Linked DNA regions of Elephas maximus indicus. The protein of the gene in region 3 purifies or fractionates together with the protein of the main gene of each other region. This does not show direct contact. Links are inferred from orthologs where the notes say so. Each region holds a gene or a part of one and is shown on either strand. Other genes may lie near its edges.

Region 1 (8,208 bases), on a different chromosome or scaffold from region 3:
GCAGGACAGGACAAGCTGACTCTGGTCAATGACCAAAGGAAGCCCCACCTCTAGAGAAGAGATGGGACAGGAGAGTCAGGGTAGGGGCGGGGGCGAGGACTGGGAGGACAAGGCCCTATGGCTTCCAGCTCCCAAGCCTCCAGCCTCACCTGTCCAGGGATGTAGTAGGCCCCCTGGGAAGCTGGGTAGGAGATCTGGGAGGGGATCATCATGACTTGGGATCCAGCAGGGTAGACATGGGCAGCTGGGCCAGGGCGGGCAGGGGCTGCGCTGGGCACTCGGGAGGCGGCACTGCTCGGGGGCTGGGCCCGGCTAGTGTAGAAGTGCTGTCAGGAGGGAGGAAGGCCGTTGGCATAGGGAAGGGGAGGAAGTGGACTGCAGGCTGGAGAGGAGCCCTGGGGGCGCCAGAGTACAGCGATCCAACTCTCCAAGACCCACTTGGCCCCCTGTACTCACACATGTCCTCTGTGTTCAGATACAGGCTTTGCACTCTGTACGTGTTTACCCTCTCACTGCCATGCACACTCACGTAACCTCCACCAGACTAGTGCTCTGCAGAAGCTTCCTAACACCCAGATGCCACACGCTGAAGGAAGGCCCTTTCAGGCAAACACTCCCCAGCATGCACCGCTCCACCCTAAGGTGCTTGAGGAGGTAACCCCTAACATGCAAGTCTCCCAATCACCAGACAGATATGCACGCACGCTGCAAAACTTAGCCACTGACATGCATTATGGGTCAGCCTTACAGTGACAGCCTGGACGACAACCAAGTCCCCACCATGAAGAGCCCCAGTCCCTGGATCTAACCCCTAACTGGGTGTACGGTGGGGTGAGGCCAGGAGGAGGTCCAGGATTAGGAAAGAAGAATTACCTGCAGAGACCTGAATCCTCCCTGAGAGCACATGGGGACAGGAAAGAAGAGAATTATCCCCAAGGTGATGAGAACAGAAAATGTGGAAGAAGTAAAGCAAAAATCTTCCCACTTAGCGAAGAAGAACTTGGGGAACAGAGGAGGGCAAGAACCACCTGGAGTGATTCTCTGGCCGCTCCAAGGAGAAAGCAGGGAAGAGGAATGTCCACCTCCCGGTAAAGAAACAGGAAAACAGGAGTTGGCACCAGGGCCCAAAGCACTGCCTCCAGTCCTCAGCAGCACCAGGTCCCCGGGAACGCCACCCCCACCGGCTGCACGCTCCCCAAGGGGCCAGCCACCTAAGGAATCAACAGCGCAAAGTGCAGGGCTGCACGGAAGAACACAGAGCAAGTGTCAGGAGCTGAGAACCAGGTACATGGCCTCCGTAGTCTCCATCTGAGACCCGAACTGGCCCGAGACTGCCACAGCTCCCCACCCAGGCCCCCTGCTCCCCTCCCCACGGCCCCTCACCTGGCGGGGCTGAGAAGGCGTGTTCATTTGTGTCACTTGTGGCGTACTGAACACCACCGGCGCTGTCTGCCCCGGGGGAAACGCTGGCTGAAGGGGGGAGACCAGAGTTCAGCAAGTGGGGAAACCCGGGTGGGGCAGAAACCCAAGCTGGTGAAGTAAGAGGGGTAAGTCTGTGGCAAGGCCTCAGCAGTCCACATCCCCCTCCCCAGGACAGCCCCTGGGAACAGCCCAGGGGCCCTGTCTCAATTTGGCAACAGGCCGTTGCACTTTGCCCTGACGCAGATGGGGGTGGGAAAATCCAGAGGTTGGAACCTGTTCCTGACCGGCTGCCTGGCCTTCCCTACACCCTTCTGGTCCTTGCTAATTCCTCAGCCTCCCTCCCTAATTACCTGTGGGAGTCCAGGGGATGGGGCGGGCGGGGGGCCTGTGGGCTGTGGCGCTTTGTTCATTTCATTTGGTGCCACATCAGGGTCCCCCCAACACCTGTTGGGAAAGAGTGGAGCTTGGAAAGAGGAAGAGACCCAAGTTTAAGGCAAGTGGAGTGGGGGAAGGGTTAAGCAAGGGATGGGTCCAAATCGGAGCCGCAGAGGCACCAAGGGAGTGAAGAAGCATTAACGACCCAGGCTGTGTGTACCCACTAACATGCTGTCAAGCCCGCATCACCGCCATCCACCCCCCTGACCTGCAGAAACGGCGCTCTCACTCACCCCCTCGGTTAAGAATAAGTCCACGGTGCGGCCTACAGGTTCTGGGCATCCGAGGGCCTGGGGTTGGGAGGTGAGGGGTATCAACCCGGCTCCGCGGGGCCCCAGACCAACCAGACCGGAAATTCCAGGTCTCGCTGGCACCAGGCTCCCGGCTCACAAACGGAGCTAGCCGCTTCGGCCGTGGCGTCCCCACCCCCCACCCGGGGACACCGGGTTCGGGGCCCGGCCCGGGGACACACAAGGCACGCCTGCCGCGAGCGGCCGCGGGGGCACCGCGCAGGCCGGAGGCGACGCCCGCCGCCGCCCAGGAGCCGAGGCCAGGAAGGGCGGGCGCCGGGCCCTAAAAGGCCTGGCGAGCGGCGGCCGAGGAAGAGCCGGTTTCAGGCAAGCGAGGGTCGGCCCGGAGGGCGGGCGCGGCCGGGGGCTCCTCCCTGCCCGCCGCCGCCGCCCTGCCTGCGCCCTCCCTGCGCAGCGCCGGCCAGTGCCAAAGAACAACGTGTCACTTCCCGGCGGCCCGGCGGCGAAGGGGGAGGGGGCGCCGGGCCGAGAAGCCGCGGTGCCGGCGGGCCGAGGGGCCTCCCCGGGCCGGCCGCGGTGGCACGTCCCGGCCAGCGAGCCCGGCGCCCTCCCAGCCCGCGGGGGCGCACATTCCGGCCCCGCGCCCCCTCGCCCCCGCCCAGCAGCCAGGCCGGGCCGCGCCGGGCACACGTGGGCCGGGGATCGCGCCTTGGAGGGCCGGGGCCCGGGCTGGGGCCGCGGGGCCGGGGCGGCGGGGCGGCGGCGCAGGGCGGCCGGTCCCGGCCCGGATGGCGGCGGATGCGGGGGGAGGGGGTGGGGGGGCCGGGTCGGGCCCGGACATGGCGGCTTTACCTTCAGTCTCCTTCAGTCCGCGCGGCCGAGCCCCACGCAGCCGCACAGACGTAGTCCACAACCATTTCCGGCTCCCCGCACAGATCCCGCTCGGTGGCCACCGCTTCTCCGCAGGCGCAGCCGGCGCCCCACGTGACCGGCGCAGGGGGAGGAGCCTCGCCCCGGCCGCAGGGCGCCGCGGAGCACATGGCTCTGTCCCGCCCCGTCACGTGACAGCCACAGCCCGCCCCCATGTCCCCTCCCGGACTGTGGAACTCCAGACGAGCTGCCTTGTGCGTCTCTGTTTGGTGGTCCTTTACTCCATTGAGACTTTACTGGGTGCCTACTAACTGCAAGGCGAAGTGCGGAGAATATGGAAATTAAGGAGTCCTAGCTAAGTAAATCATGGTGCAATATGCAAAGAAATGCGAATTATACAGTCTTTGGAGGTAATGTAGATTAGATGCTTGAAAGGCTCGTTAACAAAGGAGATTGAATGTTACCCTGAAAGGACTGAAACATTCTAACTAGGAGACTAGCAAGAGTAGATTTGTTTTATACAAAGATCAACCCCTTCCTGGGAGGGGCAAAAGTTAATCAAGGAACCCAAAAAAAACCCACTGCTGAGAATAATGACCAGAGAGTCAATCCCAAAACCCCTGCCTGGCACCAGAAAGATCTTGGAAGCCAGACGGGAGTGCCCTAGAGTGCAACTCACTTACTGGTTTTTAATCCTGATTTCACTACTTACCACGTGGCTGTCACCTACCTACCTGCTTACTACCTGAGGACTCTGGGCAAGATGTAAAATGGGGAGGTTTGAAACCAGGTGGTGTGGATCAAGTCTGAGCTTTTAACCACCATGCTTTCTCTCAATGATGACATCTACACTATTGGATTTTGAGGATTAGTTAGTACATGTGAAAGTGTTTGAAACAATGCCTAGACATTTAGCAAAGGGTCTATCTACACGGCACATATGTTACCTCAAAATAAAAACAAAAGTTGCCATCGAATCAATACCAACTCATGGCAACCTCATGTGTGCAGAGTAGAACTGTACTCCACGGGGTTTTCAAGACTGTGACCTTTCGGAAGCAGAGCCTGATATATATTGCAGGACTTGATGTAGCTAGGTGAGGGTGTCATAAAACAGCCCCCATTATCACCCCCATCAAGAAAGTACAGCTGTAGGGTGGGCATACTTAGGCACAAAGATACCCAATAGTCATTGCTTTTAAGAGAAGTAGGGCAGCAGCTCCGAAGACCAAAAGAGACACCTGGAGGAGAATAAACACACGGATCTGGTGTTCTCCGCGACGCTCATTTGCGCTCTGTGATTGTTGTCATGTAGGACTCTGCTCTCTCATTTCTCTACTTTGTCCCTAAGGAGACTCATCCATGCACTGACAAATAATTACTGCCTTCATGAGAGTGACTTCCTAACTCAGAAACCACGCTCAAACTCCAGTGACAACGAGGTACTACCTAAAAGATGTCCTTGCCTAATTGTCCCACTGGCATCTCAAATTGCGTGTGTTCAGATAGGAATTTGTCACTTCTCCCTGAATTCGTGAACAGACTCCCCCATCTCAACCCCAAACAAATATGCTCATATACGGCTTTCCAATGAATAGTGCCATAATTTAATGCCCAACCTGAAAATCTGGGCTTCATCCTACACTCCTTCCCATCGACACACTACGTTTAATCAAACACTAAGTCTTATTGATTTTATCTTTTTTGAACAAAACTTCCTTTTACCCCTACCCACCTCCCCACTTCTACTGTCCTAATTCAGGTGTCCATTTCCCTTGTCTAGTCTCTGGGCTTCCAGGGTGAGCTTTCTTACCCACATAGCTGATCATGTCACTTTCCTGCTGACATACAATGGTCCCTGTTGAGATACTGTCAATTTCTTGGCATGACAAAGCTCTTCTAAACCTGGTCTACACCTGTGTCTCCAGCTGTATCTGCTACCATACTCTTCCCTGGTCCCTGTAGACTTAGCCAAACCAAGCTATCCATGGTTTCTGAACACATACAGCTTTTCCTCCTTCCTGCTTTTGCTAATTGCTTACCTATATTTTCCTACCCTCTTTCCCCTTGGACAGACTCTTCTTTTTTCAAGTCTCAGCTTCCTCCAAGAAATTTCACCACACTCATCCAAGCACTTAGGCCCTATCCCAATGATCCCAGGGTATCTTGTTCGCCCCCAGTACGGTATTGATCACAATATATCACAATTGTTTTCATGTAATTATCCGTCTTCTTTTCCATTGTGTAAGCTTTTTAAAGATTGGATCTTTTTTTCTATCTTTGCATTCTCCAAACTAGAATAAGGTTCAATGCAGAATAAGGTTCTGTTGATATTTGTTGCTGAACAAACAGTTGAATATGAAAGGTTAAGAACCACTATGAAAATTTCTTACTCTAAAACACAGTAACCAATTTGGAAGAAAATTATCTGTAAAAATGGCATGGCAGAGGCGTCTGACTTCACAAGGGGGAAGGAGAATCAAAAATAGCCCAAGGCTGATTCCTATGAGGCAGAGGTCAAACACACCTCCACCGTCCAACCTTTTTACCAATTCTGATGACAAACGTCCCTCCCATAGCACTCCCTACTTCTCTGCTGGGTTGGATAATTCATTGCAATGGCCACACAGAACTCACAGACCATACTCAAAGTAATGGCGTTTGTTAGGGAAGTAACAGGTAGTTCAGGAAACAGTAATTCAGGATATACTTCTTTGGATCAGGACAACCTCTTCTCAGCTATGCCCACAGGCAGGCCTCTTTCTGGCCCTTGGCCCCTTAGCCTAGACCCTGCCCCGCTCAAGCAAGTGTTACAAAGCTCTTTAGCTCCACCAATAAATGCCCAGAGGCAACCCACCCCACCAAGCCTCTTGCTGGAAGGCACTTAGCTTTCTTGCTCTATGGGCCAGGTAGGTCACCAAGTAGTCCCCTGTCAGCTTTCCTGGTTCTGCTGCCTCTGCTGCCACCATTTCTCTGCCACTGCTTCTCACCATCTTGCCATCTCCAGTGTTACGGTTCTCTTTCGCTGTCTCTGGGTCTAGGAGGGTCTCAGCGCAGAGATCCCAGGTCCAAAGGATGTGTTCCACTCCCCTCTCTTCTTTTTGATGGTAGTCAGGTCCCCCTCTGTGCTCTGGGATTGCTCATTTTAAGGCTAGCAGGATGGCAAAACTGACCAATCCCCTTGTTGGGTTCCTATATACTGTATTTGCATGGTCCCATCCCCACAAGGGTGCCATATACTTATTTGTACTATTAGCAAGATGTCCAGGTCTCTTGGTGGGCCACAAGCACCTTATTTGCACAGTCCCACCCAGTCATTTGGTGGGAGTTACAAGACCATGGTGAGAAATCAAAACCAAACTCATTGCCGAAGAATCAATTCTGACTCATAGCAACCCTAGAGGACAAAGTAGAACTGCCCCATAGGGTTTCCAAGGAGTGCCTGGTGCATTCAAACTGCCAACATTTTGGTTACCAGCTGTAGCTCTTAACTACTGCACCACCAGGGTTTCTATGGTGAGAAAGGCCGTGTAAAAGTGATCAGTTGCACTGCAGGCCACCTTCTGACTTTTCTAGCCATAGTTTTCATACTTGGAGAGTAACCTCCCCCTTCCAATTATTTTGTCAGTCCAAAACAGTCATCAACAATTAGTACTTCCGTAGGGCAAAGAGGCCTCTGGGTGAGGTTACTCAGGTACCAGTCATTCAGGTCTGCTGCAGGTATCCATCTGATCTGGTCAGGTCTCCAAAAGCCATCTTGGCTTCATCTTTTCTAGCCTCTGATAAAATTTAACTGTTGATGTTGTTGTTAGGTGCCGTCGAGTCCGTTCTGTACAACAGAAGGAAACACTGCCCAGTCCTGCGCCATCCTCACAATTGTTGCTATGCTTGAGCCCATTTTTGCAGCCACTGTGTCAATCCATCTCATTGAGGGTCTTCCTCTTTTTCTCTGACTCTCTACTTTATCCAAGCATGATGTCCTTCTCCAGGGACTGATCCTTCCTAAAAACATATTCAAAGTATGTGAGACTAAGTCTTGCCATCCTTGCTTCTAAGGAGCATTTTGGCTGTTATTTCTTCCAAGACAAATTTATTTGTTCTTTTGGCAGCCCATGGTATATTCAATATTCTTCACCAACACCATACTTCAAATGCAAGTTGGAATCGACTTGACGGCGATGGGAAAAATTTAATCAACAGAAGATTATTCCCTTGCTCTGAGCCTCTCTGGAGGTATAATTCCCAATGTTCACTTCCATCATACATTTAGGTCTGCTTTACAACACCAAGTAGGAGAAACATTCAATATCCAGAGTACATGCAGATAAACATGTGACACTTTTTAAAACATTCCAGTTTCATCTTCTCTTCTTCACACCTTAACTGTCTTCCCATTCATACACATATGGCCTCATCTCATTTGATCAAACTGGCTTTTGCCTCAGGCCACTGCAGATGCAGCTTTTCTCCCCTCAGCTGCAGCATAACATCTCTTTCCTTTCAGTCATTACAGGTAACAACCACCAAAGTAACCACCTAAGAATCACAAGTTTCACTTCCCATGCCCCTTCATTCTTTCTCTTACAAAGTTCCACGCTTCCATGAGTCTGGAGCCATTGCAACAAATCCCATTTCTGACACCAACAGTAAAAATGGTGTGGTGGTGACATCTGACCTCCTCTAACTTCACAAAGAGGAAGGAGATTCAAGATCAACAGCCCAAGGCTGATTCCTATGAGGCAGAGGTCGAACACACCTCCACCCTTCAATCTTTTTACCAGTTCTGACACCAACTGTCCCTTCCATGGCACAGTCTACTTCTCTGCTGGGTTCAATAATTCATTGAAATGGCCACACAGAACTCACAGACCATACTTACAGTTATGAGGTATATTAGGGAAGTAACAGGTTACAATTCAGGATCAGGATACAGTTCTTCAATCAAGACAGCCTCTTCTCAGCCATGCCCACAGGCAGGCCTCTCCCTGCTTCTGCTCTGCTTGGGCAAGTGTTATAAAACTCTTAACTCCACCAAGAAACCTCCTGCTGGAAGGTGTTTGGCTTTCTCATTCCACTGTGCTGTCTCTTGGTAGGTCTCCTGGTTCTGCTGCCTCTGCTGCTGCTGTTTCTCTGCCACTGCTTCTTGCTGTCTTGCCATCTCCGGTGTTACAGCTCTGTCTCCTGGGTCTAGGAGGGTCTCAGTACAGGGATCTCAGGTCCAAAGGATGCA
Region 2 (7,436 bases), on a different chromosome or scaffold from region 3:
GATATTTCAAGCATAATCCCAAACTAACCCTAGTTTTCTGTTTAAACTTTCCCTTCAAAATGCTGCCATTAAATTACCAAAGATTTTTTTAGCCTATAATAGAAAACGAAATTAAAAAAACAAAACTAAACCCATTGCCACGGAGTCAACCCCGACTCACAGCAACTCTATGGGACAGAGAAGAACTGTCCCACAGGGTTTCCAAGGCTGAAAATCTTTTTGGAAGCTGATTGCCACATCTTTCTCCCACTGAGCGGCTGGCGGGTTCCAACCTCCAACCTTTTGGTTAGCAGCCAAACGTTTTAACCATTGAGCCACCAGGGCTCCTCGAAAAAAAAAAAAAATCACTATGAATTTACAATGCCTCCCTCCCTCAAAAAATTAAATTTAAGCATGGAATATCATATTAGGAGTTTTTCCACCTTTCAATATCACATCTCCTACTAGATTCCTTCTCTATGGTAAATTTGCCAATGTTTATATCTAATTTTAAAAGCTCTACTCCAATTTGTCTCCACTGACACAAATGGCTAAACCTATTATAAGAATTCCTGTCAAATTAAGGTTGGTTTAAATTACCAATGTTACAACTATAATAGTTATTTTTCTTCCTGCTCTCATGCATCCATGTCCCTCTTTCCTTCTAGCAAATACCCCATTTCTGTACAGATACCTTCCCCATGTTCTCATGAGATGCTCCCCAAATGTACATCCAAGGGTGGGCCATATTACTCCAAAGGTAACGCTGCTCCTCTTGCCAATGTCTACTTAAGAAGACAAGCCTAAACCAACTGGCATATGGCATCCTTTGCCAATGAGACTCACGAGAGGTATCTTGGGCTTTCTTGCTCTGGAGAGAGAACCACTACTCAAAGAGATGTTTTTCACCAGGTTGAGATGGATTTTCTATTGTGGCCAAAAGCATCTTGTTTGGCAACTTTAAAACATACTGAGAATTCTGATCAACGTTATCTAATGTATTTTTAAACAAATCTAACCATATCCACAAAACCTGTCCTATGACCAATACTGGCCTTTCTGTATTTGAGGACGTTGTTGATTTTGGCAAAAAAAATGGTACTTCAAGAGGGACACAGGTGGAGAAGTAAAGACTAGGGGACACCAGAGTCACAAGAGATTCATGTCCCAGCCACACAGGTCAAATTCAGAAAATGAAAAATCTCTTCTTGACTTCCTATCTGCCATGCCAAAAATGACTTAGCAAGTAGGAAGATGAAACCTGCCTCTGCTAGGCCTGTATTAGAAGAATAATGAGCACCCTAATCCAAGATTGGCTTGTCATTCTTTGCGGGGCATTAATGGACATTTCTCATAAACACTAGTAAACTAAAAAGCAGGTTGTAATTCCTAACAAGAGATAGCAGAGCCAAAAATGACTTTGAGGGCACAGAAACATATTACTGGACCAACACACACACCCTCTGATGGCTGTTATTACCCTATTCTGGCATTTGCTTACTTCCTTACATTGTTGGCCTTGCTGATTTTCATAAGAAGTTTTAGGCAGTTGCTTCCCTCTGGGCTACACAGCAATTTTCCAGTTCTATGACTCAGAACCCTGGTGGCATAGCGGTTAAGTGCTACTGCTGCTAATCAAAAGGTCGGCAGTTCAAATCTGCGAGGCGCTCACTGGAAACTCTATGGGGCAGTTTTACTCTGTCCTTTATAGGGTCACTCTGAGTTGGAACTGACTCGACCGGTTTGGTTTTTTGGTGTGACTCAGAAAGGGGAAAAGAAAGAAGGGTTCTCCTCTGCCATCCCTAGGTAAAATCAGAAAATGTCTATTTAGCTGTGGGAGAGCAAGGCTCAGTTAATTCACTGGGCAGACTTCCACAAACTTTTTTTCTTTCAAGTATTTGCTTGTATATGCAAGTAGTAGTCTATTATTCATCCAAACTAATGGATATTATTTTTATTAGTTCCACACTTCTTTCATCTGTATCACTAATACAAGTATTTTAAGTAAAAAAACATTTATGCCTCCTAAATTTTGCAATTACACTTTTTTTGTCAGAATTAGTAGAGAGCAAGTTCGTTATTTCAAAATACTGTTGAAACACAAGTGCTAAGCGAGTCCACGCTTTAAAAAAAAAAAAAGGCCAAATGACATGCATTAAGACTTTTTAAAATATAAATATCATCCTTTAAAAATAAATGGAAACCAACTGTATAAATGAACTAATAAATACTACCCGGAGGCAACATCTGCACCAGCTACCTGATTCGGCACACGGGATGCAAAACTCCCGATAACCCAAACACTGAAGGCACAACAGAGTCGGCCGTCTGGAAGTAAATCATACATCGCAAATATAGGACCAGTTTATATTCACTAACTGCTCCAAAGGAAATCTGTTATCCTTTCCGACGAGATGATATAGATTTTTTTTTTTTTAATTCTGTAGGTTACCCCAAAGCAACCTTACTTTTCGGGACACACATTTCACACTCGGGAATCAGCAGAGCCTCTTAACCAAAGCCGACAATGCCGAAGACCGCCAGAGGAGCGATGGACTGACCCTGCGCCAGGGAAGCTCAACTTGGGCCGCACAGGAGGCCACCTCTCAGGGCTCCCCGCCGAGGGACCCCCGGGGCCCCCTCCCAGAAGCCGCGCAGCAACCAGACTCCACCGCCGGGAAAAGTTCGCCCCTCGGCATCTCCGCCCCTCGCCCGGACGAGCCCCTCGGGCCGCAGCGCCGTCGCCATGGCGACCGGTCCCCGCCCCATCCCCAGGCGCCGGGGGTTGCCGTGCTGCAGTCCCGCGGCGGGCTCGGGCCCCGCATGGCCGAAGCGTGGGCAGAGGCTGCCCAGCCGGGAGACGAGGAGCGCAGGGCGGAGGATGAAGAGGTGCGGAAAGCGGAAATCGCCTGGGTCCCGGGCCAGGACGCGGCCTTGCCCCGGGGTCCTCACCCTTCACTTTGCCGAAGGTGCCGACCCCCAGCGTATCCCCCAGGATGTAGTGGCCGATCTTCACCCGCCCGTCGTGTTTCTGCTTCTCGGCTGTCGCCATCTTTCTCCAGGAACTGAGTCTGCGCATGGCGCCCGGGAGGGGGCGGAGGGGGCGGGCAGGGCCGCGCCGGGGGCGGGCGGCGGGAGGGTGGGGACGCGGGCGGGCCGCCCGGAGCCGATCGCCGCCCTGCACCGCCGCCCTGCACCGCCGCCCCTTCTCCGCAGCCAGCCGGCGGGCGCAGACGCTCCCCCTGGCGGGCGGACGGGGGTCGCTGGGAGGGAGCCGGGAGCCCCTTTCCTCGCCCGCACCTCTCCGGCTCCGGGCGCCCGCCTGCCTGCCTGTAGGAGAGGCTTCCTGGGGCGCTGAGAAGAGCGACAGCCCCCAGGCTCCTTTCCCCTCTGCGGAAGTCTCTGTTCTCAGTGGACGCTCCCGATTCCCACTCCTGGGTCCCGATATAATTCCACCCGGGGAATCTGATTCCAAGGGGGTAGGCGGGCGCTGGGGAATCCTGCTCGGATAATACAGATGTGTGGTCTGTTACTAGTGCACCGAGAATTGAAACAGGACTGAGTCGCCGCGCTGACGCTGTATTTCTAACCTTGGTTCTCGTTTTTCCCTCTTGGGTGCAATCTAGAAGCCACAGGGAGTTTACTCTTGCACCTTTGATGGAGTTTCTTTCTCGCTGCTCTTTTTTCACTTTGAGCCTTAAGTTACTCTTTGAGTATCTCGAAAACTATAATTGTCGGTCTGAAATTTCCTTCCCCGTTGCAGGATGCAGGCTGGGAATGTGTGTGTGTTTGAGGGGGGAGTGGGAGATTGCTCAGACCCTTCGATGTATAGGAACTTATATTGTTAGATTATTAGTAAAATGTAGAATTTCACCGGATCGAAAACAAGGCTTACATCAACCAGACATTTATTTAGTGTACTTGGAATGAGTAAGACTTAGTCTATTATCGATACAAATGGGATTATGCTATATCACAGAGGGAAGGAAGGAAAGTGTGCCTATTTGTAATAGAAATTTAAGTGGTTGTCCTCTAACAGTGGAAAAAACCCAGCGTCTCATCCAGAAAGCAGTGGAAATGCTCTCAGTTTGGCAGTGTCATAGCATTTGGACTAGTGTCAATGGGCACTGAAAATAAGACTAAAATGATGCCATGTTTTTCCCAGTGAAAGTCAGTTGCCTAACCCTCCTGATTGTCATATACTTTCCGTTTATGAAATCAAAGTAACTTACATTAAGCACTGCTTTGTACTAAGCAGGGTACTGCAGAGAAAGAAAAAGTCCCTGCCTTTGAGCTTAGACCAAAAAAAACCAAACCAAACCCAGTGCGGTCGAGTCGATTCCGACTCATAGCGACCCTATAGACATACACCAAATAAGAAGAGAGCAATTCTAACTAGACTTGTCCGGATTATCAAGTTCCTACTGTAGTATGGACTGTGTATATTTTGAAGGGCCAGAAAGTTAATTAAGAAATCTGAGATACTTGGGGGGCAGGGCAGGGGTTACTGTGGTAACTTTTGCTCTCTGGCTTCAGCTCTTTGCCTTGTGAGTTTCTGCAGTTCAGATTTTTCGGACCTCTACAAGTATACACAGCTCTCTGGATTCTCTTAGAAAAAATATATATATTTTTTAACTTTTCCCCCCAGAAATAACTTCTTAAATTGCTTTAAATTTGCATCAAGTCTAGAATTCTGCCCAGGAATGTTCTATTATTTCTTTTAACATAAAAGAAAAAAAAATTGCAAGATGCCTCCATCTGTCCAGTGCCAATTAAGCCACTGATCACAGAATTTTGCAAATCCATTTGCCAGTCTCTTCATGAAGCTAGGAAGACTCACTTAAGAAAGAAATATAAACATTTTTAGCAGAAATATCAGTTGTTTTCTGCTCTGATATTATTTTTATTATAATTCTATTTAATAAATATTCCATAAATGTCCCTTTCACTCAAAAGCTTTGTTAGGGAAACAAAACCTAGAATCTTGGAACAAAGAATTGCATAGGAACTTAGAAGTCATCTTGTCCTGTCTCCCATAGTCTCTGTTTAAGCAGCTTTAATTGCTGGGGGTTTGTTTTTGTTGTTGTTTGTGTGTGTTGAGTTAAAACCTGATTCCAGTTAACACCTGCCAGTTTCTGAGAAAGTAAATAACAAGCCTCTTTACTTCATTCTTTTCTTTTTCTCTTCATTCCTCTTTATTTAAATTTCTGTCACACTTCCTTCCATCCTCTCTTCCTTTCATACCCCCATTGATCTGCCTTCAAACCTTCACTTCCTTTTTTTCTTCAAGCATTTGTTAACTTCTAGACCCTGGGGAGAGATACAAAATGAAAAGTTATGGTCCCTGCGATGGCAGTTCTTCTTATTTGCCCCCAACACCCAGGATAGATAATGTCCACAGGCTCAACATTCTTCTAAAGTGGAAGCGTAGATAAGGTAGACTGTGGTTTATACCCAGTTTCCTGGATTATATATTACTGGAATATAAGTGAACAGAAGTGATATTATAGAAGTAGCCTTGAAATCACTTCACTTTAAAGGGGAGAAGGGAGTGGAAAGTAAATTGTTTTCAAGCTTCAGTACTTCAGCTTTTATTGGTAGAAGTAAGTTACAGTACATCCCAGTGTTGATGAAGACATACCGGGATGGCCCAGCACCATGGGTCTCGTGGAGAAGCTGGGTATTTAGTTTTCATGCTCCTTCTGCTCTAGCCCGTTAGAGATTCTAAGGTAGCTGTGTCTCCTCTTAAGTCTTTTCTTAAGGCTATCACCGCATTACTGGACCCTACACTATCCAAGTGGACATTCCACTTCCTCAATGACTATCTCCAAATATGGCAGCCAGGACTGAAAATTTCTGAGTACTACACTATTAATATTAACACACAAATATTTCTTTAGCTTTGTCATAGTTATGTTGTAATTAATACTCAATATTTTTTGAATGACATTGTTTTCAAGCCAAAAACCAAACCCATTGCCATGAAGTTGATTCCAACTCATAGCAACCCTACAGGACAGAGTAGAACTGCTCCATAAGGGTATCTAAAGCTGTAATCTTTACAAAAGCAGACTGCCACATCTTTCTCCTATACACTGACTGGTTATGCCTGTATTACAGTCAAAAAAAGTAACTATTAGAAAAAATAACAAAGACTCCAACATTAGTATGGAAGATGCTTGGAGAAAGGCAAGACCAAAGTGGGCTAAAACAAGAGACTGGCAATCATCTCATTAAGAAATGATGAGGGAGGCATCATGTATGAAGAGGAGAAGTAAACGGAAGACCTATTAAAAAAGGTAGAATTACCAAGACACACAGATTGATCTGGAGAGAGGGGGTTGGGAAGGAATCTTAATTACCTTCCAGGTTTCTGGTTTGGGAACCTGAATAAATGATGGTGCCATTGATCTACACAAGGAACTGCTCAGAAGCAGACAGGACTTTTTGGAGGATGGTGAACGGGGGTTCAACAGAAATAATGAGTTCTACTTGTAACATTGAAACATCTAACAGACACTCAGATAAAGATATTCATGGTAATGCTGATAATACAGGTCTGTAGCTCCAAAGAAAGGCCAGCTAGAGATATTAAATGAGTAATGTCTTTTATAAGGATCAGCACAAAGCTGGTTCCTATGAGGTGAAGGTTGAAGATGTCCCAAATGTCCAGCTTTTCCAAACTGCTGTACCACTCCATCATCTCAAACATCAACTACTCCCTCTCCACTCAGTATTCTCCCTCCCATCTTTGGGTTCCGTAATTAACTGCAAGGTCTCACAGAACTCTGGAACTGTACCAAGTAAATGGCTCACGCAGTTGTGAAGGCTGGCAAGTCCCAAATCCGGGGGTCAGGCTTAGGCTTCTGCTGACCCACATGGCTGCACGTGGCTGCAGGGGCTGACAAACCCAAACTGGCAGGTTAGACCACAGGCTGCTGGCTCACAAGGCTGCAGAAGCTGGCAAATCAGATCAGACAGTAGGCAAACCAGTTCATGGGCCTGTGGAGGCCTGCAAATCTCAGAATTGGCAGGTCAGATGGCAGCCCTCTGGCTCAAGTCCCTAAAACCAGAGGCCAGATGATCAAGAAATGGATGTGGGATCCAGATGCAGAGAGAAAAAGCACTTTCTTACTTTCTAGCATTGCAAAATGTTTGAGATTCATTTTGCAGATTTCATGATTCAATCCTACAATCAGTCATTTCTCCAAGAAGCTTTGGTTCTTTTTATTGGAAAATCATATTGGAAACAAATACCAGGGTGCTAACTGGGTATACTACCCCCAGGGTTGTATCCTTTCACAATGCTTATTCAATCTTTACGCTGAGCAAATAATCTGAAATGCTACGCTATACGAAGAAGAACTCAGCATGAAGATTGGAGGGAGACTCATTAACAACCTGCATTATGCAGATGATACAACCTTGCTTGCTAAAAGTGAAGAGGACTTGAAGCA
Region 3 (7,736 bases):
AGATATACTGCTGCAGCCACTTTTGAATGATCTTCAGCAAAATTTTGCTTTCATGTGATACTAATGGTATTGTACGATAATTTCTGCTTTTGGTTGGATCACCTTTCTTAGGAATAGGCATAAATATAGTTCTCTTCCAGTCAGTCAGCCAGGCAGCTGTCTTCCAAATTTCTTGGCATAGTCGATCGAGCACTCCCAGCACTGCATCCGTTTGCTGAAGCATCTCAATTGGTATTCCGTCAATTCCCGGAACCTTGTTTTTCGCCAGTGCCTTCAGAGCAGCTTGGACTTCTTCTTTCAGTACCGTTGGTTCCTGATCAAATGGTTGAACGTTGACCAGTTCTTTTTGGTATAGTGACCCTGTGTATTTCTTCCATCTTCTTTTGATGCTTCCTGTGTCATTTAATACTTCTCCCATTACAGATGAGGAGATTGAGGTCCAAGTTCACACAGCTAGTGGCACTCCTCTATCCTATCAGAGTTCTAGAGAAGGATTTTCCAGGACAGGCCTAATTGAAATACTCTGCCCTTTGGGCCTATGAATTAATTCCTGTTTGTCAGTAAGACCGTGTATCAATTAGGTTAGGTGGGGGATATGGACCCCCCTCCCTCCCCAGCTAGTTCAAATGCTCCTTTCTTGGGAAACTTACAGCCTCCCTGGGTAATAATAGAAATTCCTTTATTATTTGTTGAATGATAGTTAAAAAGCACCAGGCACTGTACAGCATGTGCTAGAACCATTACTTCATTTTTTCCTGGCAACATGCTTGCAACATAGGTGCTACTACTCTGTGTGCTAGTCTCCAAAAATGTACTGCCTTGTACCAACAACAATGTATTATCTTAAAGTTCTGTAGGTCAGAAGTTTTACCAAGCTAACATCAGGGTGTTGGCAGGGCTGGTTCCTTCTGGGGACTCCAGAGTAGAATCCATTTCCTTGCCTTTTCCAGCTTCTAGAGGCCACCTGCATTCCTTGGCTCCATGTCCCCTACCTTCATCTTTAAAGACAGCAGTTGCGTCTTCAAATCTCTCTCTCTGGTCTCTGCTTCAGTCCTCACATCTCCTTGTCTGACTCTCCTGCTGCCCTCTTTCCCTTATAAAGACCTTGTGATCACTTCAGACCCACCTGGATAATCCAGGACAATCTCCCATCTCAAGATCCTTAATTTAATTACATCTGCAAAGTCTCTTTTGCCATGTAAGGTAACGTATTCATAAATTCTGGGGATTAGGACAAAGACACCTTTGGGGAGGGGGCATTATTCTGCCTACCACGTCTTCCTAATGCAAAAGATTTACAGGAAGATAAAGTAACTTGCTGAAGTTCACAGGGCCAGTGAGTGGGGGAGCCAGGTTTTGAATTCAGGCCTGTCTTTTAAAAAAATTTTATTGTGGCTTTAGATGGAAGTTTACAGCAAAGATTAGTTTCTCATTTAAAAATGTATACACAGTTTGTTTTGTTACATTGGTTGCAATCCTTACAATGTGTCAGCGCTCTCCCCCTTTCTCTTTACACCCAGGGTTCCCCATGTCCATTTGTCCAGTTTTCCTGTCCCTTGCTGCCTTCTCATGTTAACATTTTTCCATATTTGCTTTCTCTCTCTCAATGTGTATTTATGTGTGTACATACAATTTTATTTTTTACTGAACCATTAAAAAATAATCTGCAGGCAAATTATGACACATTCACCCCTAAATCCTCCGCATGCATCTCCTAACAGTAAGGATATTCTCTTACATAAAAACAGTATCATTATTACTCTATGAAAATGACTAATAATTCCCTAAAATCACATATATTCAATACGTATTCAGATTCTTCAAGTGTCACTGCTCTGACAGGGATCACAATAGAGGGTCCCTGACAGAGCTGGACAAAAATGTGAAACAAAATTCTAACTCACAAAAAAAGACCAGACTTACTGGTATGACAGAGACTGCAGATACCCCAAGAGTACGGCCCCCGGATGCCCTTTTAAACCACTACTAAAGTCACTCCTTAGGCAGGTCCATAAAGCCAAATGAGAGGAAATGGGCATACCAGCCCAGGGGCAAGGACGAGAAGGCAGGAGGGGACAGCAAAACTAGTAATGGGGAACCCAAGGTCAACAAGCTGAGAGTATTGACACATCGTAGTGTTGGCAACCAATGTCACAAAACAGTGTGTATATTAACTGCTTAACGAGAAAATATTTTGCTCTGTAAACCTTCATCTAAAGCACAATGAAAAAATTTTTTTCAAGTGTCAAAAAATATTTACTAAGCTAAAAAAAAAAGCAACAACAGCAAAAAACAATGCAGTTGAAGTTCACACATTGTATTTGGTTATGTCTTTTTAGCTTTTCTAGTCTAGAACTGGAAACCCTGGTGGTGTAGTGGTTAAGTGCTATGGCTGCTAACCAAAATGTCGGCAGTTCAAATCTACCAGGTGCTCCTTGGAAACTCTATGGGGCAGTTCTACTCTGCCCTATAGGGTCACTATGAGTCGAAATTGACTCGATGGCAGTGGGTTTGGCTTTTTGGTATTCTAAAACTATCTCCTTCTCCCACACAGTTTTTTTTTTTTTCACTACACCCCATTTTCGAAGAGACCAGGCCTGCTGTCTTATGGAACATGGGAATGGATCCCATTGTTGACCTCTGCTTCTTTGCACAGGGTCTAGCAAAGTAATAGGCTCTCTGTCCATGTTTGCTAAGCAAGTGAAACCTATAATGGTTATGAATAATAATCACAGTAGCTGCTTTTTCTTGCAGGCTCACTTGGCCATTGGGCTTGTTGTTGTTAGGTGCCGTGGATTTAATTTTGATTCACAGCAACCTAGTAGGACTGCCCCATAGAGTTTTTTTTTTTTTTTTTTTTAACATTTTATTGTAGTTTGGGTGAATGTTTACCAAGCAAATTAGTTTTCCATTTAACAGTTTATACACATTTTGTTTTGTGAAATTAGTTGCAATCCCCTCAATGTGACAGCACTTCCTTCCTGGGTTCTGCGTTTCCATTTGCCTATCTTTTCTGCCCCTTTCTGCCATCTGAACTTTGTTTTTGCCAAATGCTGCCCTTTCAGTCTCCTATGGTTGACTGTCCTGAGCAGCGCGTTCCTCAAAGTTGTTACTGTTCACTTTGTAGGCCTGTCTATTGTTTGGCTGAAAGGTGGTCTCCAGGAGTGGGTTCAGTTCCAGTTTGGAAGGATGTCTAAGGGCTATAGTCTCAGGGGTTCCACCAATCTCTATGAGACCAGTAAGTTTGGTCTTTTTTATGAATTTGAATTTTGTTTTACATTTTTCTCCCGCTGTGTCCAGGACCTTTTGTTGTGATCCTGATCAGAGCGATTGGTAGTGGTAGTCAGGTACTACCTAGTTCTTCGGATCTCAGGCTAGTGGAGCCAACAGTTTGTGTGGTCCATTATTCCTTTGGGTTAATTGTTTCTTTGAGTCTTGGATTTTCTTGACTCTTCTTTCCTCCGGATGGGAAGAGACCAATAGTTGTATCTTAGGTGGCTGCTGGAAAGCTCTTAAGACCCCAGTTGCTTGCTACTCACCAAAGCAGTATGTAGAATATTGTCTTTATGGGCTGTGTTATGCTGATTGACCTAGATGTCCCCCAGACCCAGAGTTTTCTAGGCTGTAATCTTTAGGGGAGTATATCACCAGGTCTTTTTCCCACAGGGCAGTTCTAACTGCCAACTTTCAATTAGCTGCCGAATGCTTAACCATTGGGCCACCAGGGCTCCTTGGCCTTTGGGTTTATGTACACTCATTAAGTTGATCCTTACAGAAATCTTAGGAGTTAAGAAGACTTAGTTTCATTCACAGGTGAGGAAGCCAAGGCTTAGGAGAGTGAAGAAAATTGCCTGAATTCAGACAGCTAGTCAGGGGACTAACCACATCACAGCTGCACTGGCTGGTAAACTGTGGGTTCAGGTAGGGGAGCTTACAAACTGTTTCTTAAATAAATGAGTGAACAAAACAACCCCAAAGCCAGTCAGTCTGTATATATGTAATGTACATAAATGTATGCAATAAAAGAAAAAACAGGGAACATTTATTGAGTGGTTTCTATTTGGCACGCCCCATGCTAAGCGCTTTTTGGTGTATGACATTCTTTATTCTCCAATGCCTAGCAAAAGATGTGGCGCTGAGTAGGCGCACAAGCAATATTAGTGCAACGTATGGATGAACGAATAAATGAATGGATGGACTGGAATGTGATCTCCATAAATCAGGTTGTTCCTCGAGGAATTTCAGCGATCACTTCGGAGAGCCCGGCCTAGGAAAAGAGACGCTGGGGGCTCACGGGGTCAGACCGGGGTTCTGGGCCACGATGTCCCGAGTCCCGCAGGTCGGCCTCCCAGCCTGGCGGCCTCCCAGCAGGTGAGCAGCGTGGGGCCTGCCTGTCGCTTCGGCGTTGTCACCCTCATCTGCCTCCCTTTTCCCGTTTCCGCACGCAACAAAGCCCTAGCTGCCTCCTCCCGTCCGCGGCCGATCCAGCCTCCGCCGAAGGACGCCGGCTCAGAGTCCAATTCCCTGGCCTCACCGCGGCCAGAAGGTGGGCCCGGTTGGCGCACGCCCACCTGTCGGCCGCGCAGGCGCACTGCGCGCCCGCGCCGGGCCTCCCTGCCCGCGGCGCGGCGGCCAGTGCGCAGGCGCGGCGACCGATGTGAGTGTGTATGTGCGGGCGACAAGATGGCGGCGGCGGGGGAAGCAGCGTGAGAAGTCCGGAGGCGCGCCGAGTCCATTGAAACGGGCCGCCATGGCCCTCCACAGCCCGCAGGTACCCACCGGCCTGCGCGTCGGCGGGAAGGGACCTGGGTGCTCGGCGGAGAGGGCGCCGCGCGGGTGGGCGGGCGGGCAAGCGGGCGCACCCTGCCCCGGGAGCGAGCGTGTGGAGTGGGGGAGGGCGCCGGGACATGCTGCCCGGGACTAGGCCCCGAGCCTTCGCGCTCCCGCCGCCGCGCCCGCGGCCTCCCCCCGCAGCCCGCCCGCGCCCCCAGGCTCCGGGCCGGGAGAGGGGCGCAGGGGCCCGGCCGCTCCTCGGAGGGCGTAGGGCGCCGAAGGGGTTAATCTCTGGGCCCGGGCCACGGCGGGAACTGGGGTGTGGAAGGGGCCCCTCTTCGCCGAGTCAGCACGGCCTCCGGGGGAGGGGCAGCCAGAGGGCCTCCAGGGCCCCCTGGAACGACTGAGCCGTCAAGACAGCTCCATGTTGCTCCCTTTGCCCGAAACGAGCTATGAGGATTTGGGGGTAACTCTTTTCCCCCCATTCCCCAAAAGGTGGCTTTCCTCAGCTCTTTTGACGACGGGAGGTTGCAGGTTTTCGGGTTGTAAGATCCAGACACTGGGGAGCAGCCTTAGGTTACTGTTCCAAAGAAAACTCGAAATAAGTCGCAAGGACCATAGTTTAACTTGGATTTGAGTGACATCTTTGCACGAATCCATTTCAGCCAAGCTGACACTAACGTCTAAAACAACCTGGCAGAAAAGTATCCAAAGTTGAGGAGCCGTTTAAAATAATACCATAGTGGAAAGAAAGAGTAAAAAGAACCTTTCGCTTTTGGCGAGGGTGTAGAGTTGAGCTCTTATTTCCCTCCCTACCCCACCCCACCCCGAAATTATAATTACTCTGGATAAAAATCGACGTGTGGCGTTATTTTCCAAGCATGTTTTAGACCGCTGATTTGTTGCGATCAAACCTCTAGAAATTATGGGACACTTTTATACAGTCTCAATATGCTTTTGTATTAAACATGGAAAAATGAAACAAAGTAGCTGTTGGCTTTTGTTGCCGTTTTGGAAATGAAGTCGATCTGGAATAGACATCTTTTAAGATTTTAATAACTATTGCAATTACTAAGGAGCCCTGGTGGCGCAGTGGTTAAGAGCGCGGCTGCTAACCAAAAGGTGGGCGGTTTGAACCCACCAGCCAGCCCGCGGGAGAAAGATGTGGCAGTCTGCTTCTGTAAAGATACATCCTTGGGAACCCTATGGGGCAGTCCTACTCTGTCCTGTAGGGTTGCTATGAGTCGGAACCCACTCGACTGCAACGGGTTTTTTTTTTTTTTTGGTATTGAGAATTAGTGTATGTTGTGGAATTAAAAACAGGGCAACCTTATTTTTAAAAAATTTAGATCTTATAGAAAGCTGCAGTTTTGTTAAATTTTTGGTACTTTGGTCTGTGCAGTTTTCCCCTGTTAACTTTGTGTTCACTTATACATTTACTTTTATAAGTAGTACAGTTCTTTGCACATAAAAGGGGCATCACAGTTAAGTAATTTTTATGAAGGTGTAATGCAATTTTTTTCATAAGAGATTTGCATATCACATTTTTCTCAATTTAAATGTTAATATTTCTCAAACCAAATAAGAATTTCTCAGTGTAAAAGTTTACATTAAATATTACTGTAATATTATTGAATGCATACTTAATTATATTGTTATATATTAGGAAACCCTGGTGGCGTGGTGGTTAAGTGCTGTGGCTGCTAACCAAGAGGTCTGCAGTTCGAATCCGCTAGGTTCTTCTTGGAAACTATGGGGCAATTCTACTCTGTCCTGTAGGGTCACTATGAGTCGGAGTAGACTGGATGGCAGTGGTTTTTTGCTGTTGTTGTTTATATTGTACTAAATATGCATATTTTTATATTAAGTAATATTTGCGTTAAATATTAATGTAAATAGCTTATTTTTATTGTTAAGATTAGCATGAATGGGTACAAGGTTCATTGTGAACTTATGTGTAACTTGATATTCATAATGATTTTGAAATGAAGAAGGCATGTTTAGGAATACTTTACTTCCATTATTTAATAAGTACCTATCACAGTGCAGCAGAATTGATTGAAATGCTAATTAGTGCTGATAATATGTAAACTTAATTGTAATTTCACTTGCATTTACTGTCTCACAGCGGTATTTGTTTTATACCCTGATATTGCCTATACTCATCTTTAGTACGTTGGACTGGCAAAAGTTAGTTGAACATAAATGTTAGCATCACTTTGGGTTTATTCTTTTAAAGTATGATTTAAGTGCTTTTAAGTCTAGCATGAAGAACGTGGGAAGGAAATAGTTTGATTTTTCATGATACAGTGGAATCGTATGTGCCAGGATTTAATTATTGGATCTTGCTTGAGTTGGTCTGAGCATTTTAGGAAATTTGTTTTGTTCAGTTGCCTGCTGTCCTAAAGGTTCCACAGCTTTAACGGACATTCATTCATTAATTAACAAATATTGACTGAGCACTTACCATGTGCTAAGCACCATGATATGCATTTTGCTTGTTTGCTGTTGGGAATAACAACAACAAATAAATGGTACCTGTTGTCCTTGAGGCGATTGTAACTTCTAGCAACTCTATAAGACAAGTAGAACTGTCCCCTAGGGTTTCCAAGGAGCGGGTGGTGGATTTGAACTGCTGACCTTTTGGTTAGCAGATGAGCTTTAAACCACTACGCCACCAGGGCTCTAAATGAATGGTAAAGGTCCTTTTTTAAAACTGGCTTGTTAAGATTATAACTTGAATTTTTTTTTACATAGATTAGAGCTTATGTCTATATGATTAGAAAGTATTGACTGAACCCTGCTCCCTGGGTTGAAGTGCAAAACTTGGAACATTCCTAAAGCCAATAACTTTCAACATTTTCACAAGTTCTAAATGATGAACTTTGACAATTGGAGTTTAGGGAGAGCTCTAATTTATGAATATTTGTTGTCATGAGTGAACTGATTGAATGATTTGGGAT
Region 4 (7,098 bases), on a different chromosome or scaffold from region 3:
GGCTTTGACTCCCAGCTGGAGGAGTTGGGGACACTACTGGGCAGCAGGGGGGAGCCATGGTAGGTTTTGGAGCAAGGGAAGGGCACAAGCAGATTCACTCTTTGGAATAATGCAACAGGCCCACTGGCATAGTGGTTAAAGTGCTCAGCTGCTAACCAAAAGGTCAGTGGTTCAAACTCACCAGCTGCTCTGTGGGAGAAAGATGTGGTGGCCTGCTTCCATAAAGGTTAGTCATGGAAACCCTGCAAGGCAGTTCTACTTTGTCCTGTAGGGTCACTGAGTCGAAATCGACAATGAATTTGGTTCTGTTTTTTTTGTTTGTTTGTTTGGAGAGGGGTTGCAAACTCAGCATCTACAGGGGCCGCCAGTTGGAGATCCCCGCTTTTCAGCAGCAAGATTCTTGTCTAACACAGGCTGCCTGAAGCAGAGGGGAGTTGAGACATCATCTGGTCTCACACCCTCACTTATGGATGAGGAAACCGCAGCCCAGAAGGGTTAGGCCACTTGTCCGAGGTTACCCAGTAACACCAGGTGCTATGAGAAAATACCTGCAAGCGTGTGTAGATAATTGTTCCCTGATGTCAATTCTCCCCCATCTTCTATGACAATAAAACCAGTTGCCTTTGAGTTGACTGTAACCCATGGTGACCCCATGTGTGTCAGAGGAGAACTGTGTTCCATAGGGCTTTTTTAAAAATAATATTTTATTGTGTTTTCACAGCAGTTTAGGCTCCCATTTAAGTTTCTGTACGAGTTGTCCATAGGGTTTTCAGTGGCTGATTTTTCAGTAGATTGCCAGGCCTTTCTTCCAAGGCACCTCTGGGTGGAGTTGAACTGCAAACCTTTCAGTTAGCAGCTGAGCACAGTAACTGTAGGCGCCACCCAAAGATTCCTCTATGGTAACATTGTTGGGTGCCATCAAGTTGATTCCAACTCATAGTGACCCTAGATGACAACAGGACTTCCCCATAGGGTTTTCTTGGCTGTAATCTTTAGAGGAGCAGGTCACCAAGTCTTTTCTCCCCCAGAGCCTCTGGTGGGTTCAAATCAGGACCTTTCCTCTGGTTAGCAGCCGAGTGCTGGCCCCCACATGGGTGGCTAAAGACTACATTTCCCAGCATTCCTTGCGGCTAATGTTAGGTGGCCAAGATCCGGCCAATGAAGTATAAGTGGAATGTTGGGCCTGACTTAAAGGGTAAGTCCGAAAGGGAGAGGGCAACCTCTCAACACCCTGCCAACATCCCAGGGACAGATGGCCCAGGACCCAGGAAGGGGACAATCAGTGGGATGGGTCCAGGTGCCCAGGCATCTATGAGCTGACAGGGAAGCCCGTGGCGGGCCCTGCCTCAACCTCCCCTCTCCGAACACAGACCTGAAGTCGGGGATACCGGAGGAGGTGCTGATGCCGGCGCCTGTGTGGAAGACCACATTGGAGGCCTCCCAGAGCAGCTGGGCCAGCGCCCACACCTTCCGCTCCAGCTCCTCTGGGGGGTCGAAGATCTGTTGGGAGAGAATGGGAGGGTGGGGTCGGAACGCGCCCTACAAGCATGGAGACCAAGAGCCACAGATGGACTGACGTGCTATGCTCAGGGGGAGGAGACAGGGTTGGAAAGCACAGCTTGTCTTGGCGTCCCTCCTCTGCCTGTAGCCCACCATGGCTCCCACCTTATTCCGTAAAAGTCCTCCCTGCCCTGTCCCCGCCCTGCCCTCCCCTCCTCCTCGGCTCTCCCCTTCACTCATCCCGCTCCAGCCACAAGGGCCAACTCACCAGGCACGGTCCTGCCTCAGGGTCTTTGCCCAGGCTGTTCCCTCTGCCTGGAGTGCTCTTCCCTCAGATCATCACGCCAACCACTCCCTCACCTCCTTGAGGTGTTGGCTCAAATGTCATCTCAATGAGGCCTCCCTGGTTACCCAGTTTCAATGCCGCCTTTCCCTCCACCCCCAGCTCTCCCAGATTAATTTTTCTCCATAGCTCTTAGCACCACCTGACTTATTACGTTCATTTGTTTCTTGTCGGTGTCCCCCAGTAGAATGAGAGGGTTTTGTCTGTCCTGTGTCCTACAAAGTGCTTAGTACACAGTTGCCATCAAGTCGACTCCAACTTAGGGTGACCCATGTGTATCAGTGTAAAACTGTGCCCCCACAGGGTTTTCGATGGCTTATTTTTTGGAAGTAGGTCACCAGACCTTTCTTCCGAGGTGCCTCTGGGTGGACTCGAACCTTTAATCTTTTGGGAGCAGCTGAGCATGTTCACAGTTTGCACCACCCAGGGACTTCTGGTACACAGTAGGTGCACAATAAATGTTTGTGGAATAAGATGAATAATGGAAGGGATTCACACCATCTGAGAGTTTATTAAACGTATGATTAGAAAAGAATGGGCCAGCCTTTATGAGATGGGAACCATGTTGTCCTTCAGCTTACAGAAGGGGAGATGGAAGCCCATAAGGGAAGAGACCCGCCTAAGGTCCCTCAGTAGGTGGTGGGCACAGACTGTTACTCCATTTCCTCCCAGAGTGGCTGGAGGGATCTTTCGGACCCTCCTCAATCTGTCCCGGTCGGTACCTCCCCAGCTCAAAACCCTTCCCCATCACACTTCCCAGCCTGCCATTTGAGGCCCGTCCTGGCCGGCCTCTGAAGATCTCTTTGCCCTACTCTGTTCTCCAAGTGTGTTTATCCCACATTCCTGCCTTCGCCCTGGCTATTCCCTCCCCCTGGAACTACGTGCCCTCCGCCTAGAACTGCGTGCCCTCCTCCACCACCAGCCTTCAGGCCTTCCCCGACCTCAGTCCCAGCCTGGCCCACCCAGAGCTGGGCGTGTTCGTGTCCCCGGGCGCGCAGGGGTCGTCACTTCCCGCCCCCTCCTCACTGGGAAGTCCCTCCCATTGTCTAACCTCAGTGCCTCCTGATACTCCCACAATGCCCCGCTGCTGGCCAGCCCCTCCCAGCCCGCGACCCTGGGGGCGCACTTCGGGGCCCCAGGCCGCGCTCACCTCGGGGAGGCCGCATTTGCCCTTGTCAGCATACGGCGACAGCCCCGCCGCGTAATTCACCGACATCCTCGCTCATCCAACGGGAACAATAAAGTTTCCCTTGTTGAGGCCGCTTCCGCCGGAAATGGGGCGGGCGGGGCGGAAGGAGGGGCAGCGCTCTTTTTCTACGGGCCCGGCGTCTTCCTCCAAGGCGCATGCGCGTGTTCGTGAGGCTGCAGGCGCCATCTTAACTGCTGGCAGAAGGAATTCCCGGTTCCCTGTCCAAACTCGCAGGGGTGGTTAAGGGGCTGCGAAGATTGGGGCGGCAGCTCACGTGAGAGTTCTGCAGTTTCTTCTAGAATGAAGTGCATAAGCGATCAGTACCCCATTCCCTTGTTTTATAAATGAGTAAACTGATGTCCCTGTCACCCCCAGTAAGGACATAGCCAGGAGGGCAGGGACCCAGGACTCCTGCTTCTCTACACCAAGGATCTTTCTTCTGCACATTTCAGAAGTTTATAAAGTTACAAAACGCAGGGTAGGAGAGTGAAACTGCACAAGGTTGTTGAGGCTGGTGGCCTTGAGTACCATGTTGAGCACCTACTGTGTTCTGGGCAGACCCTGGAGAACAAAGAAGACACGATTCCCTACTCGTTGTTAGTGATGGACGCAAGCATCTGGCCAGTCAAAGGTGTCACAGTGTGGTTGAGGTGCTACGGGGAACGACGAGGGCACAGAGCAATGAAGGAGCTCGGAGGTGGCACTTCACCCAGCCTGGGGGCGTCCCGGGAGGGCTTCCTGGAAGGGGAATGACGTTGCAGCAAAGACCTCAAGAGTGAGTAGCGTGAGGTGGAGTGAGTGAGCCAGTTCGGGGTGACGTGGGGTTCAGAAAGTGGACTCCTGGCAGAGGACTCCTGACAAGTGCAAAGGCTGGGAAGACAGCAAGATCATGGCTGGTTCCAGAAACTGAAATCAGTCCAGTGATGATGGGAGGAGAGCATCTTCCCGCCAGAGCCCGTCGATCAACGGGCAGCCCCGCTGCCAGCCTGTCTCCTCCCTCAGCTCATCCCCGGCCCCCTGGGGCAGCTGCCTGCTCAGAGCTGATCAAGTGTCAGAGCTTAGTGCCCAGAGCGGCTGGTGTGAGCTCACAGCCCGGCTGGGAGTGGGCAACTGGAGCCGGCAGCCTGCACGGTGGCCTGGTGCTGGGGCACTGGAGCTGCAGGAGGTAGGAGAGGAAAGGGGTGAGAGAGGCCTGGGATGGAGGCTCCCCTCAGGGCTCAGGGCTCCTTGCCCTCTGTAAGAGAGAGGATAGGCTGGTGGTGTGTCCCAGCCAGGGTCAGGAGCTACCCAGGCTCCAGGCACACGGATACGCTCCTTCATGCATACACTGTCCCCTCCAGCCTGTGCCCTGCCGGGGACATCCTCCTTTCCTGCTGCTGCTGCTGTCTAATATCTGGCCGGGCCATCAGGCCCAGCTTATACTTTATCACCTCTTTCAGGAAGCAAATCCTTAGGTGAGGGGATTCCTCCCACTGAGCCCACTGCTTCCCTCCAGCTCCGGGCAACCTGTGGAGTCCTCTCCTGGGTGTCTTATTACACTCTGCTTTGAGTGTGACTTGACACAGTGATTAAGAGCTCGGCTGCTATCCAAACGGTTGGCAGTTCGAATCCACCAGCCATTCCTTGGAAACCCTATGGGGCAGTTCTCTGTCCTATAGGGTCGCCATGAGTCAGAGTCAACTCTACGGCCATGAGTTTGATTTGGTTGGTTGAGTGTGATTGAGACCTTTATTTAAAACAAAAGCAAAAAAAAACCATTGCCTTTTATTAGGGAGTAAAAAAAAGGGTGGGGGCGGAGGTACATTAATTGGTGGATGGGGAATGAATGGATGGGCCATAGATGAATGAGTGGGAGGGTAGATGGATGGTTGGGTTTAGGGGGTGGGTAGAAGGATGGATGGGTAGATGGTAGAAGAAGGATGGGCGGATGGATGAGTGGGTGGGTGGATGGGTGAGTGGGTAGGTGGGAGGGTGGATGGGAAGGTCAATGAGTGGTTGAGTTGAAGAGTGGTGGATGGATGGGTGGGGTGGACAGATGGGTGGGTGACTGGATGGGTGGGCAGATGTAGTAAGGTCCATGGCTGTAGTAAGTTGGGTGGGTGGGCAGATGGATGGGTGGGTTGATGGATGAGTGACTGGGTAGATGGATGGGTGAATGGGTGGATTAGTTGGTGGATGGTGGCTACTGGGTGGATGTACCGTGCTCGAGTAGGAGGATGTGTGCACAGGTGAGTGGATGGGTGGACGATGGCTTTCAGAATTCACAGGCAGGGGGACAGGCCATCCCACCCCCCCACCGCCAAAGGCAGACAAATAAAGCTACACTTTCACCGAGATCCTGCTCACACATAGAGACCCCAGTCACACACCTTGCAAAACAGCCCCTCAAAACATCCTGACCTGCATGCACACACATGCATGTAACAGGCAAGGTGGACAGACGTGCCTGTATGTACACACGTCATACTCCCGTGTGCATCCACACACGTGCAGCCATCACCCCAGACCTCCACCACCCTGGGTGACCTGTCTCCACGCCCTCACCATGCAGAGGCCAGGCTTGTGTATGGGGACTTAGCTGCAAGGTTGCTCTCTCTGACTATCCAAGAAATGTGCCTCTATGCAGACAAACCTCAGACTGGGCCTGGCCCCCAAGGAACCCCTAACTGTTGAGGAAGACAGAACTGGTCCAGATACTCCCAGCCTGTGGAGCCAGGGCTGGGGTAGTCCAATCTGAGGAGTTAGGACTCAACCTTCAGGCAAGAGGCAAGGCTGATCAGAATATGTTATTTTGGGACTGAGTAGGAGTTCACCAGGGAAAGACAACAAAAAGGCATTCTAGGCCGAGGTAACAGCAAAGAGAAAAGCTTGGAGACTGGGAAAAGCTTGATCGGCTTGGATAATAGGAAATACCAGCAGCTGGAGTTGGGGAAGAGTGTCTCCAGGAGTGGCTGTGGGAGAGGAAGGGACCACCTGCTAAGGCTAAATCGTAGGGACCAGGTGAGGTGCATTTATTGAGCTCCTACAGTATACCAGGCTCTGTGCTAGAAACCTAAATGACAATTGACCGTGAGTCAGTTGAGAGGGGATTGCTGTTGCTGGCTGCCATTGAGTCAATTCCATAGTGACTCCACGTGACAGAGTAGACCTGCCTCATAGGGTTTCCTTGGCTGTAATCTTTGCAGGAGCAGATCTCCCGTGGAGTCACTGGGTTCGCACCACCACCCTTTCTGTTAGCGGCCAAACACTTAGCTATTTATGCCACAAGGGCTCCATCAAGAGGGGGCTATCTACCCCAGTTTATAGATGAGGAACGTGAAACAGAGAAGGCGAGCGGTCTACCCAAGGACACACAGTAAATAGGAGGTGGATCACTGGTCCTGTTCTAGGGGCTGCGGCTGCCCATGAAGGAGGAAGTGGTCCTTTGGAGCAGAGGGAGGCAGCCAGACCCTCCCGTCCTCCAGGACTGGGTCCCTCACTCCCCAATCTCTCTGGCCTTTCCCAGGTGGCCTGGGGCGAGGAGAAACGCCGGACGCTGGCCATGAAGACTCTCCGGGCACGGTTTAAGAAGACAGAGGTTAGTCTCATGCTACTGAAATGCCTAATGCAACCCCAGGGCCTGGCCAAAGATCTGCTGGGATCCACCCCTCATCAGAAAACTGCTCAGAATTCCCTGCTCAAAACCCTACAATGGTCCCTCCCCACACACAGGTTCAAGGCCAAGCCATTCAGCCTCCGCCCACCTTGCCTCCTTTTGCTCTCTGCTGCCCCCTGCTGCCCGTATCTCCCCCACTGCTGCCTCTATAAGCTTTCCACCCACGATTCCTTTGCCCAGGCGGTGCCCTCTGCCTGGAACACTCCCTGCATTGCTACTTATGAAATCCTCCACACCTCTCCCAATCTGTCTCCATTGCCACTTCCTCCAGGAAATCTCTACCCTCCCCAGCTACAGTGGCCGCTGGCTTTTCTGGGCACCTACTTTCTCAGCAACTCCAGTCTTCTGTGTTTGTGTGTTTCTTCAGTAAATATTTGTATCAGGCACTGTTTTAGGCACTGGGGGAACAGT

Evidence for each region.
Region 1: the proteins of USP10 (region 3) and EIF4G1 purify together in Homo sapiens (affinity purification with mass spectrometry; 4 studies listed by BioGRID, with this or other methods). This does not show direct contact. The link is inferred for Elephas maximus indicus from reciprocal best matches to the Homo sapiens genes USP10 and EIF4G1.
Region 2: the proteins of USP10 (region 3) and PRKAA1 purify together in Homo sapiens (affinity purification with western blotting; 3 studies listed by BioGRID). This does not show direct contact. The link is inferred for Elephas maximus indicus from reciprocal best matches to the Homo sapiens genes USP10 and PRKAA1.
Region 4: the proteins of USP10 (region 3) and SIRT6 purify together in Homo sapiens (affinity purification with western blotting; 4 studies listed by BioGRID, with this or other methods). This does not show direct contact. The link is inferred for Elephas maximus indicus from reciprocal best matches to the Homo sapiens genes USP10 and SIRT6.

Annotation. Positions count from the first base shown.
Region 1 is NC_064819.1:30,774,539-30,782,746, forward strand, and holds the start of EIF4G1 (eukaryotic translation initiation factor 4 gamma 1), read right to left. Parts: upstream 3,092-8,208; 5' UTR 2,961-3,091; intron 2,675-2,960; exon of another isoform or gene 2,091-2,674; intron 1,867-2,090; 5' UTR 1,833-1,866; coding exon 1,773-1,832; intron 1,471-1,772; coding exon 1,384-1,470; intron 327-1,383; coding exon 150-326; intron 1-149.
Region 2 is NC_064820.1:46,893,736-46,901,171, forward strand, and holds the start of PRKAA1 (5'-AMP-activated protein kinase catalytic subunit alpha-1), read right to left. Parts: upstream 3,076-7,436; 5' UTR 3,059-3,075; coding exon 2,932-3,058; intron 1-2,931. UniProt on the Homo sapiens protein: Catalytic subunit of AMP-activated protein kinase (AMPK), an energy sensor protein kinase that plays a key role in regulating cellular energy metabolism.
Region 3 is NC_064839.1:50,585,973-50,593,708, forward strand, and holds the start of USP10 (ubiquitin carboxyl-terminal hydrolase 10), read left to right. Parts: upstream 1-4,683; 5' UTR 4,684-4,750; coding exon of another isoform or gene 4,751-4,771; intron 4,772-7,736. UniProt on the Homo sapiens protein: Hydrolase that can remove conjugated ubiquitin from target proteins such as p53/TP53, RPS2/us5, RPS3/us3, RPS10/eS10, BECN1, SNX3 and CFTR.
Region 4 is NC_064821.1:7,230,350-7,237,447, forward strand, and holds the start of SIRT6 (NAD-dependent protein deacylase sirtuin-6), read right to left. Parts: upstream 3,099-7,098; 5' UTR 3,060-3,098; coding exon 2,994-3,059; intron 1,501-2,993; coding exon 1,373-1,500; intron 1-1,372. Other genes in the region: ANKRD24 (ankyrin repeat domain-containing protein 24), read left to right, coding at 6,574-6,609. UniProt on the Homo sapiens protein: NAD-dependent protein deacetylase, deacylase and mono-ADP-ribosyltransferase that plays an essential role in DNA damage repair, telomere maintenance, metabolic homeostasis, inflammation, tumorigenesis and aging.